3 linked regions of the Oryzias latipes genome follow. The protein of the gene in region 1 purifies or fractionates together with the protein of each later gene. This does not show direct contact. Links are inferred from orthologs where the notes say so. Each region holds a gene or a part of one and is shown in the gene's direction. Other genes may lie near its edges. The genes, in order: rnf7, asb6 and ankyrin repeat and SOCS box protein 1.

Evidence for each region.
Region 2: the proteins of rnf7 (region 1) and asb6 purify together in Homo sapiens (co-immunoprecipitation; 4 studies listed by BioGRID and IntAct, counting the BioPlex papers as one, with this or other methods). This does not show direct contact. The link is inferred for Oryzias latipes from reciprocal best matches to the Homo sapiens genes RNF7 and ASB6.
Region 3: the proteins of rnf7 (region 1) and ankyrin repeat and SOCS box protein 1 purify together in Homo sapiens (co-immunoprecipitation; 3 studies listed by BioGRID and IntAct, with this or other methods). This does not show direct contact. The link is inferred for Oryzias latipes from reciprocal best matches to the Homo sapiens genes RNF7 and ASB1.

Annotation. Positions count from the first base shown.
Region 1 is NC_019871.2:22,564,730-22,567,722, reverse strand, and holds rnf7 (RING-box protein 2), read left to right. Parts: upstream 1-899; 5' UTR 900-957; coding exon 958-1,120; intron 1,121-1,244; coding exon 1,245-1,292; intron 1,293-2,023; coding exon 2,024-2,142; 3' UTR 2,143-2,413; downstream 2,414-2,993. UniProt on the Homo sapiens protein: Catalytic component of multiple cullin-5-RING E3 ubiquitin-protein ligase complexes (ECS complexes), which mediate the ubiquitination and subsequent proteasomal degradation of target proteins.
Region 2 is NC_019867.2:19,701,711-19,705,456, reverse strand, and holds the start of asb6 (ankyrin repeat and SOCS box protein 6), read left to right. Parts: upstream 1-868; 5' UTR 869-987; intron 988-1,354; 5' UTR 1,355-1,388; coding exon 1,389-1,498; intron 1,499-1,626; coding exon 1,627-1,802; intron 1,803-2,982; coding exon 2,983-3,089; intron 3,090-3,170; coding exon 3,171-3,279; intron 3,280-3,367; coding exon 3,368-3,454; intron 3,455-3,560; coding exon 3,561-3,746. UniProt on the Homo sapiens protein: Probable substrate-recognition component of a SCF-like ECS (Elongin-Cullin-SOCS-box protein) E3 ubiquitin-protein ligase complex which mediates the ubiquitination and subsequent proteasomal degradation of target proteins.
Region 3 is NC_019879.2:26,396,368-26,400,123, reverse strand, and holds the start of ankyrin repeat and SOCS box protein 1, read left to right. Parts: upstream 1-952; 5' UTR 953-1,078; coding exon 1,079-1,169; intron 1,170-1,554; coding exon 1,555-1,693; intron 1,694-3,756. UniProt on the Homo sapiens protein: Probable substrate-recognition component of a SCF-like ECS (Elongin-Cullin-SOCS-box protein) E3 ligase complex which mediates the ubiquitination and subsequent proteasomal degradation of target proteins.

The DNA of each region.
Region 1 (2,993 bases):
TGCCTGTTTCTGTTTCATCTGATGAAGACTGACAGTTTCCTTTGTGGATCTCTAAACAGAAACACGTTTAAGGACAAAGCAGCTTCGAAATGGAAGGCTTTGAAGGAAGCAACGCTCCTCTGAACTTACTGTTGACCGTCCATCCTGAGAAATGGACTCCTTTAACAAAAATGACAAAAGCAAAGCATTGATGTCATTCTAGAAAAAAAAAGTATTTTATGATAGTAAATTTGATATCTGTATAAAAGAATTTCTGTGTATAGCTGGAAATTTGTTTGGTTGTGTTTAAATACATCTGATGAAATGAGGTAGCATTTATTTTTATTTTTTTATTGTCTTGTATACTATAATTTATGTTAAATAGGTAATAAATATTAAGGTGTTGTTAGACAGCAGCATTAAAGAGAAAACTTTATATTGTGTTTTTTCCTAAATTATAATACTACACTGTAGTTAATTATATTAATGGCTTGTTTTTTATATAAACATACAAATTAGATGTTCATCTTTATATGAAGCATGTTTACATAACAAATGATGTATATTTTTTACATAAGCTGGTGTGTTAAAATGTCATTTAATAAAATAGCTAATGAAACCTTTCCTGACTGATTACATTTTAGATTTTTCTTTGTCCATATCTTCAGTGGAGCATTCCTTAATAATGAGTAGTTTATATGCTACAGATTACAGTTTCAAGACAAAATTAGTTTTTAAAATTAAGACATTACATTTTTTATTGAAATATAAAGCATGTTAGATGTTTTTATATAATTTCCTAAAATACAATAAATTGTCTTGAAGCATATTTTAAAAAAATTGCATACACTATAAAACAGGTGCAAACTTCAAGATGGTTTCTTCTTTTTACTAAAAATAGAGAAACAGCGCCCTCTGCCGTCGCTGTGAGAACAAGCATCCAGCTTGTTTAGCTAAGCTAACGTGGGAGCTGCAGAGATGGACGACGGGGACGAGCCGGGTTTGGTGCTTTCTCACACCTCTTCGGGATCCAAGACGGGGAGTGACAAGATGTTTTCCCTGAAGAAATGGAACGCTGTGGCCATGTGGAGCTGGGACGTGGAATGCGACACGTGTGCGATTTGTCGGGTACAAGTAATGGGTAAGTGTTTGACAGCTAGCTTGGGACGCATACCCGGCTAACCCGTGCTAGCTTAGCTAACACGGACGTGTTTGGTGGATGTAGGCTGCTTGGTGCTTTAACTTTATTTCTGACACTTTTACAGACGCGTGCCTCCGATGTCAGGCGGAGAACAAACAGGAAGACTGTGTCGGTAAGACGCCCCGAGCTCTAAAAGTTGCATCAACAGCACAATCGGTTAACCGGATATGCTAAAGAGCGTTATCATCAACCCTGCGTCCCACCACAATAAAAGCTCAGGCGCGCAGCTTTCACGATATTGAAAGAAAAAAGTTATTATTATTATTTTATGTAAAATACAACAAAAGAACATAGAACAATAACAGTGAGAATGCCAGAGTTTGGCACATACACTACAAAACACATTGTAATACATTAAAAACATCCAACCATAGACAGCTTTCTTAATGTTTTTGTAGTTTTCTTACATTGGCAACAAAATAAACACTGAAAACAAAAAAACTGTTTTGTGATTTTTTTAAATTTACCAAATAGCCTGTAATAAAGAGATGAATTGCCACTTTTATGTTCAAGTTCATGTTTTTTAATAATTTGAATAAAGCAATCGTTCGTTATACATGTCCTCCATCATCAAAAAACAAAAAAAATCACAAGAACATGATAAGAACGCCAAAAACGTGATTTTCATTGGAGGTGGTCTTTAATAGTTTGAGACACAATCAAACGAACTTTAATGTTCTTCCCTTCTTCATGTGAAGATTTCTCTATAATCTGTCACAGAAGTCCTGCTGTGTTTGTGAAAATAAGAGTACTAATGAAAACGTACATGTTTCATACAATATATTGTCTTTGAACATGTTTGTCATTCAGTTTTTAACCTGTTTGTCTGCCTCCATCTTCCAGTTGTTTGGGGGGAGTGCAACCACTCCTTCCACAACTGCTGCATGTCCCTCTGGGTGAAGCAGAACAACCGTTGCCCCCTCTGCCAACAAGACTGGGTGGTGCAGAGAATCGGCAAATGAGGACTGAGCCCGTGTTTTCTTCAGAGCCGTCCCGGCCTTCTCCTGTGCCGTCTTCCTGCTCGCCATCGCATGTTTCCTGTAGTCACAGCGTAAAAGGAGGGCGGGGAACAAAAACGCGTACAGATCAGCTGCTCTACCCCTTTAGAAGCCTCATGGAGGGATGGATGACAATTTACAGTGTTTGACATTTAAGATTAACTTTGATGTATGTTGCGATGTTTGGCACAAGAAGTGGTTTTTATTTTAGAAATAAAAGAATTGTGAAAGCTGCAGGTCTGTTTTCATTTGAATAGTTTCCATTAATCCTATATAACCATTTGCATCATATTTTATACATGCCTTCCTGAGACCCCAATATTATTAACATGATCCAAACTTTCTTTAAAAACCATTGGTCCATGTTTTCTGTCCTGTAATTCATCATCATTCCACTAGGGGCAGTAGAATGACTTTTCCTGCTGATTTCAAAATGGCTGTTTCCATGAAATCTCAAAAACACTTGACGGGAAACGTTTAGCTAATTTTCTAAATTTTATGCTGAGAATAACTCATCTATTGTTTTACACTTTTCTAAATGACTACTGAAAAAACACACAAGTCTTTGATAATTAACTTTTTATAACACATTGACCCAATGTGGTCACATTTACCCATGGGTCAAATGTGAGAGTGGATAAATAAGGTGATTTTATTTTCCCCTAAACACTAATTTTTTTTTCCCTAAGAACTAATGTCAATTTTTTTGCATCTTAAAATTACATTGTTGTGAGATAAAACTTACCAAAACACCCGACATACCGTAATTGATTATATCTATATCATTACAACATGATTTGGCTGTATTTTTATAC
Region 2 (3,746 bases), on another chromosome or scaffold:
CCGTGTAGCAGTCTTTCCGGGGTTCAGTGTCAGTAAAGCGGAGTTTAATATGTAAAATAAGGAGCTCAGAGACACGTTTGGGTGTAGACAATCGCTGCAGCCTTTATTCTCCTTTTCATTCCCATATCCTGAAGTTCATTTGTCTCATTACGTCATGAACCTGTCATCCCAACACCAATGCGGAAGTAAACAGTCTTACAAACGCCCCCTCCTGCAGATGAAATGTCCCGTTTCAGCATAAAACAATAAAGAGGAATGAAAATAGTGTTTTATATTGGCTTTGGAACGTTGAAAATGCCAAAAAAAGTGCTCCTCCTTTTGTGTGACGGAAGCGTCACACAGACGTAGAGTCTTGTCTTTGGTGGAGGAAGAAAGGATTCAAGCAAACAGCTGCAGGGACACCGACGACGGCTTCATCGGGCTGCAGAGATCCTGCAAACCAACCATCAATAAATAAAACTTTAATGAATCGGAAATCAAACAAATGACCTTCCAGACATTTGGAACGTTATCAATAAACATTCAGCTCACCTGTTCAACAAAGTATAGTCGGTCTTCTCTGCGGCTGCACGGCGTTCACCTGCTGCTCTGCATGCTCACTTCCACTGTAATCTCCTAAAATTACGAGTTTTTTCTCCTAAATTTACGAGTTTTTATCTCCTAAATTTACGAGTTTTTATCTCCTAAATTTACGAGATAAAATCTCGTAATTTTACTTTTTTTTTTTTTTTGGTGGCTCTATTTTTTTTTTTTTTTTTTTTTGTGGCCCTAATACTCCGTCGTACAATTTAGCTCACTCTTATTAAAAAAAAAAAAAAAAAAAAAAAAAAAAAAGAACGGCATTACATTAAAAAAAAGTTTTTCTTTTTCTCACAAACACATTTTTTCCCAACGGACAGTTTCCTAGGAACTATTGTGCGTCTAGTGGTTTCAGTGGGAATTAATCAAGCGCCGGCCAACTTCCTGTTGTGAAGAGGGAACTCTGTTGTGAGTAGCTGTGAAATTGCTAAGATTCGAACAAGTTTTTCTTTTTTCTAAGCAATTCTTCTCACTTCATCTTATGTTCAGTTTTGTCTATCGTGCAGTAATTTGTAGGATTTGTTCTAGAACCATACGTGACTCTCACGACGTTCTGTTTCTGCTCTTAAATTTTAAAACGAAAAAAAAAAAAAAACGAGATAGATCATAGTTGCCGCTAACTCTGATTGGCTACATCGTGTGTAACGATATTTGGAAAAAAAAGAACAGTAGAAGAAAAAATGTAATATCAACAATTTAGGGCTACACAGTGCTGTATGAACGAAATATCGTTTTTCTTACCTTGAAAGTCTCTAACACGTTTTTCCTGCGTTAGAATCAGACGTGTCTGAGACCGGACCGGAAGAGCCATGCCTTTTCTCCATGGATTTCGGAGAATCATCTATGAATATCAGCCACTGGTAGATGCTGTCATGCGCGTAATTGGTTTGGAGGAAGACAACAGGCATCCCGAAAACTGGTACGTTTGCCAAACCAATATTTAGCAGATGGTCGATGATTGATGGTTGATTTTTCCCTCATCATGAGGGGAAAAAAAAGGCCCTGTAGGTTTGATTGAGACCTTTTCTTTCTTATTTGCCTTGTTAGGAGTCCCGATGATGAGCCCAGAAGATGCAGCTCTTTAGTGGAGCTTCTGGAGCAGGAGTCCCAGTCAGAGATGTTTGTTGAAGGCATCAGTTATGCACTTTTTAAGGTGGCAGAGCAGGGATTCGCTTATGCTGCCAAAATCCTCCTACGCTATGGAGCTGATGTCAATTTTGAAGGTAAATATTCAGATTTGGTCACGTTTCTCCCCAGTGGAAATCCATGTAATTATTGCCTAAATGATTTTCCTCCATTTATGTCATGTTAGAAATCTCATTCATTTGTAAATCCAGTTTTGGGCTAATTTTAATGATGATTCATTTTGTAAAATTGGCAAATTAGTATTAAACTAGTATTAATTTAAGTGAAAGCAACTCCAGTTGACCTACACGTGTGTGCGTGTTGCTTGTTCTTCCTTTTGAACCTGTCCCCTGAAGAACCGGTGAGCTACATTCTTAGCTGCGCTCAGGAACCTTTTGACATTTGACCCTCCCAGTGATGCTGAGTGTTAAGCTCCGCCCTCAGGGGCTGACAGTCCACCTCTAGGCCGTTGAGTAATTGGACATTTCAGTGAGAAGATGAGTGTTTGTCACTGGATTGATCAAAGCTGTCGTCAGTCTCTGCTGTGGTGACCTCTACTGGTTTTGGATGCACACTTCCTCTCCTATGTACTCAGTGAATTCCTGCAGAAACAGCTTCATTCATGTTTAACATGAATAAAGTTGCTGCAGTAAGTTAGTTTTCAAAACGGATCATGTTTTTGCTGTTCTTTTGCATTTAAATTGAAACTATGTTTTCTTGACAGCTGTTTTAAAGTAAATATTATTACAGTTGATGTAGGATTTTTTTTATTTCATTTCTGTTTTTGGTTTTGGATCACAGTTTTCAGAAATGTTATCTAATATTCTCATGTTTTAACTGCCACAGCAATTTAACAACATTTGAAAACATTAATCATTTTTTCAATGCAATTTTGAACTTTTTTTTGTTCTTTTTTTTTCTTCTCCCCAGGACATTGTGTTCACTGTTCTGATTGGCTAAAGGCCTTGTGTCAGTCAATCTCCTTCTTGTGTCTCCTGTACAGAATGTGGGCAGTTTGCCAGTTTTATATGAACCTTTTCATTCTATAACACTGGATTCATTTTGTGAGTTTAAACAAGAGAAAAGAGTAAAAATGTTCCTGTCTGTCTGAGAAAATGTATACGGTGTGTAGTGAGGGAGGGGTTTTACAGCCGTTAAACATCTGGAATCCTACTTCGCGGATTTACCTATCGCGGGTTATTTTTAGAACGTAACCCCACAGTAAACAAGGAAACGCTGTAATCAATGAATGTGAACTTTTTTTGTTTTGTTTTCAAGACCCAGTGTCCTATTACAACCCACTGCACATAGCTGTGTTGAGGAACCGGCCAAATATGGTGAGGCTGCTTGCTGGACACGGAGCAGACATCGAAAAGAGGGACCGAGTGAGAACTTAACCAATTTTTCTTCTACATTTCTCAATTGTTCTGGATATGGGAATATACAATCCTGCATGTCCTTTTCAGATTCACGAGAGCAGTCCCTTAGATTTAGCGAGTGAGGAGTCGGAGAGGCTGCCCTGTCTGCTCACCTTATTGGACCTCGGTGCTGCTGTGAACGCTAGAGACAAGCACGGTGCGTTTAAATCGGCCGACGTCATTCCACAATATCCATCTGTGCCCTTTTAATTCTAAAAAGGGTTGCTTTCCTCTCAAATCGAAAGGGAAAACGCCGCTGCTACATGCATTAGCGAGCAGCGATGGACTTACTGTGCACAACATCGAGAACATACAGCTGCTACTTGAGAGGGGTAAGAAGGAAATCATTCTGATCTTTTTCATCTTGCTTCCTTGCTTCAACTGTTCAAATTGTGCCAGTGGTATTTTAGAATTGATTGTAAAACGTTTTCCTTAAAGGTTCTGATGTTAGCGCTGCAACAGTCGATGGAGAAACCGTTGAATCATCTTTGGTGTTTCTGGTCAAAGAGGCTCTGGATGCCAGTGTGGAGGACGCTGCTGAGATTGGCGGCTTCTGCTTGAAAGTCACCCGGCTACTGCTAGCTCACGGCGTGGACCCCAGCAGCTGTCTGAGTGAGGATGGCG
Region 3 (3,756 bases), on another chromosome or scaffold:
TTCTGGGTCACTGGGTCGCAGCAGCCAGTCTCAACTACTGCTGGGTGAAGGCGGGCTCGCAGGGTGCTCTATTTTTAATTTTTATTTTTATTTTTTTGGCAGCTGTTAATTGCTGCCATCCAAAATAAACAAACAAACAAACGTACATTCAAAGAATTGTCAAATTAACTTTAAAAGCCCAGAAGAAAATGTCTCACGAGTTATTTATGTTTGTTTAAGGTGGTATTTCAAATCAAATCAAATCAACCTTTATTTATATAGCACCTTTACAACAACACGTCACTCAAAGTGCTGTGCATAAAATACAATAAAGTTTAAAAACAAGATGACAAGACAAACAGTGCCGACAACCCCCCCCCCCACACACACACACACACACACACACACACACACCCACGCACACCATGATATAAAGAGTGATGAAATGATAGAATGTAGAGACCTGGCTTTGTCCTGAAGTGGGGAAATGATATTTTGGGGACATGTCCACATCAGTGACCCCCACCCAAGTTCACGGAGTACACTACCACAGGACCCCCCAGATCCAATCAAAAGAGTCAGAGTCAGACCCGGGAGATCCCATTGCAGCGACCCCTTTCACTGAGAAGGGTCAGTCACCGATGTGGAGGATCCCTTAGAGGAAATTTATGGTTATTTAAACTGTAAACATTCCAGCTCATCAAACTTAAAAGTTTAATACATAAGTCATCCATGCAGACTAATAATTGAACTGAAATCCATTCAAAAGTTTGACCTTCAATGGCAGCAACTTGAAACAGTGAATTTTGAAAAATGTATTGAGTTAAATAGCTTTTTTTAAATTGTATTTATTTATTTTACTTCACCCTTATTTATTTCTAAAATCTTTAGTGAATCTAACCCTTTTTTTCAGTAGTTGGTTTGGTTAAAACCCGCGCTGGCACTTTAAGCTGCACAGCCAGCCCGGAAGTGACGCCGTGATCTGCGCAGACGCCTTCGTCAACTCCGTCCTGCTTGTTTATGCTCTCCTGTCTGGTCCGGACCCCCGCCTGTCCCTGCGTCTGTGTGTCGGGATCGCCTCTGCGTTCAGTCGTGCAGCATGGCTGACGGTCCGGACGCGGACGAACCGCCCAGTATCCGGTTCCTTCCGCTCATCACCGTGTCCGACCTGCCCACATCCACCCCTGCAGGTGAGCAAGTCTGCACGAGCCGCGAGCCGCCACCAACCAACCCGTCCATCATCTGTCACCCTGATGCAGACGGCATAAGATGTTCTGACTGAACCAGAAGTACCGCAAATTCCCATAGACGTCTATAGAGAAATAAACAGCGTCTCTATAAATAAACTATTTTTTTATTTAACATGTTCCAATCTTTCTAATCCTAAATTTTTCTTTAGTGCATTCAAGTCATAAACCGACCAATCAGATCCCTCCATTAAGTTAGGCGGTGCCTTCTGGCCCCAACATCCAATGATCAAAACATTTGACTGACAGATGTCGTGCAGCCTAGGCTCTTTCATGTTTTAAATATATAAGGAAAACTCAAACTGATGTTTGGAAGTGTGCTCTGTAGGCCGCAACCTGAAGGAATGGCTTCAGGAGCAGTTCTGCGACAAACCTCTGGAGCAGGATGACATGCGGCTCCACAACGCGGCCTACGTGGGAGACCTGGACACCCTGAGGAACCTGCTGCAGGAGGACAGCTTCCGACTGTGAGACCAAACTTTAAGAAAGGCTGCAGCTCTGTGGCTGATTCAACTCATTAAAGATTAAAAAGTTGCAATCGGAAACTCTAAAAAACAAAAACAGAAGCCCAAATCATTACATCCCCACTACTGTGCTTTACAGTTGGTGATTCAGCCAAATATACGAATGCTAGAAAACTTCTTGTTCTTTTTTAGAATTATGTACAATGGGCCTAAAGTTCAAATCACATCAATAAATCTCAAAAATCCCATTGTCAATTTTTAAAATAATTTATTTGTGTATTATGGTGGAAAATAAGGTTTTGGTCACCAACAAACAAGCACGATTTCTGGCTCCCACAGACCTGTAACATCTTCTGGAAGAGGATCCTCTGTCCTCCACTCATTACCTGTATTAATAATACCAGTTTGAGCTCATTATCTATACAAAAGACACCTGTCCACAGCCTCAAACTCCACTATGGCTGAGACCAAAGAGCTGTCTAAGGACACCAGAAACTAAATTGTTGATCTGCACCAGGCTGGAAGACAGAATCTGTAACAGGTAAGCAGCTTGGTCTGAAGAAATCAATTATTAGGAAAGGAAGTCATGCAATACCACTGACAATCTTCCTCCACCTGGGGCTCCCCGCAAGATATCGCCCCATGGGGTCCAAATGATCACAAGAACAGTGAACAAAAATCCCAGAACCACACGGGGGGACCTAGTGAATGACCTGCCAAGAGCTGGGACCAAAGTAACAAAGGCTACCATCAGTAACACACTACGCCACCAGAGACTCAAACCCTGCAGTGCCAGACGTGTCCCCCTGCTGAAGCCAGTACATGTGCCGGCCCGTCTAAAGTTTGCTAGAGAGCATTTGGATGGTCCAGAAGAGGATCTGGAGAATGTCCTATGGTCAGATATAACCAAAATAGAACCTTTTGGCAAGAACTCTACTCGTCGTGTTGAAAGGAGAAAGAATGCTGAGTGTCATCCAAAGAACACCATACCTACTGTAAAGCATGGGGGTGGAAACATCATGCTTTGGGGCTGTTAGTCACCAACAGGACCAGGACGACTGATACGTGTAAAGCACACGTGTCAAACTCAAGGCTTGGGATGTGGCCCTCCATGTCATTTTATGTGTGCGGCAAGATGCTGGGGATCTTCCACCAGTCTGTGGTAGCCAGCACCCTGTTCTCCTCCGTGGTCTGCTGGGGAAGCAGCATTGCAGTCAGTGACACCAACAGACTGAACAAGCTGATCAGGAAGGCGGGTTCTGTCATTGGCTGCAAACAGGAAACATTTGAAGCAGTGATGGAGAGGAGGTCACGGAACAGACTCCTTTCAATCATGGACAACCCAGAGCATCCTCTCCACCCTGTTCTGGACAAACAGCGGAGCTCCTTCTCTAGGAGGCTCAGACAGCTCCGCTCCAAAACTGCCCGGTACCAGAAATCCTTCCTACCCGATACAATAACCCTGTACAACAACTCACTGTGCAAAAGATAACCTTTGCACATTTTTTTATTAGCTATTTATTAATTTTTTTCTATTTTGCACATTTCTTTTGCACATCTTTTTACCTGCACTGTTCTGTAAATAGCTTTTTAAATTATACTACCTTGTTTTTTGCATTTATGCTACATTTTCTTTGTTCTTTTTTTATATTATTCTTAGTCTTTTTTTTTTCCCCTCTGCTGTCAGTTGCTATGGTGACAAACAAATTTCCCACGTGTGGGATCAATAAAGTATTTCTGATTCTGATTCTAAAAATCAAACAATGTGATTTTCTGGATTTGTTTTGTTCTCATTTTGACTCCCATAGTTGAGTTTTACCTATGAGGAAAATTACAGGCTTCTCATTTATTTTTAAGTGGGAGAACCTGCACAATTAGTGGCTTACTAAACCTGTTTTCCCCCACTGTATGAAATATCTCAGACAATTCAAAAAGGAAAACAATTTAAAAAAAATGTCATTGTTTAACATTTAATTTTTTAAATCTGGAAATAACTTGAGTTTTCTAAAATATTTCATCTTTATTTAGCTTACATTTTTTGGGGTCTTTTTTAGTCATGTTTTGTT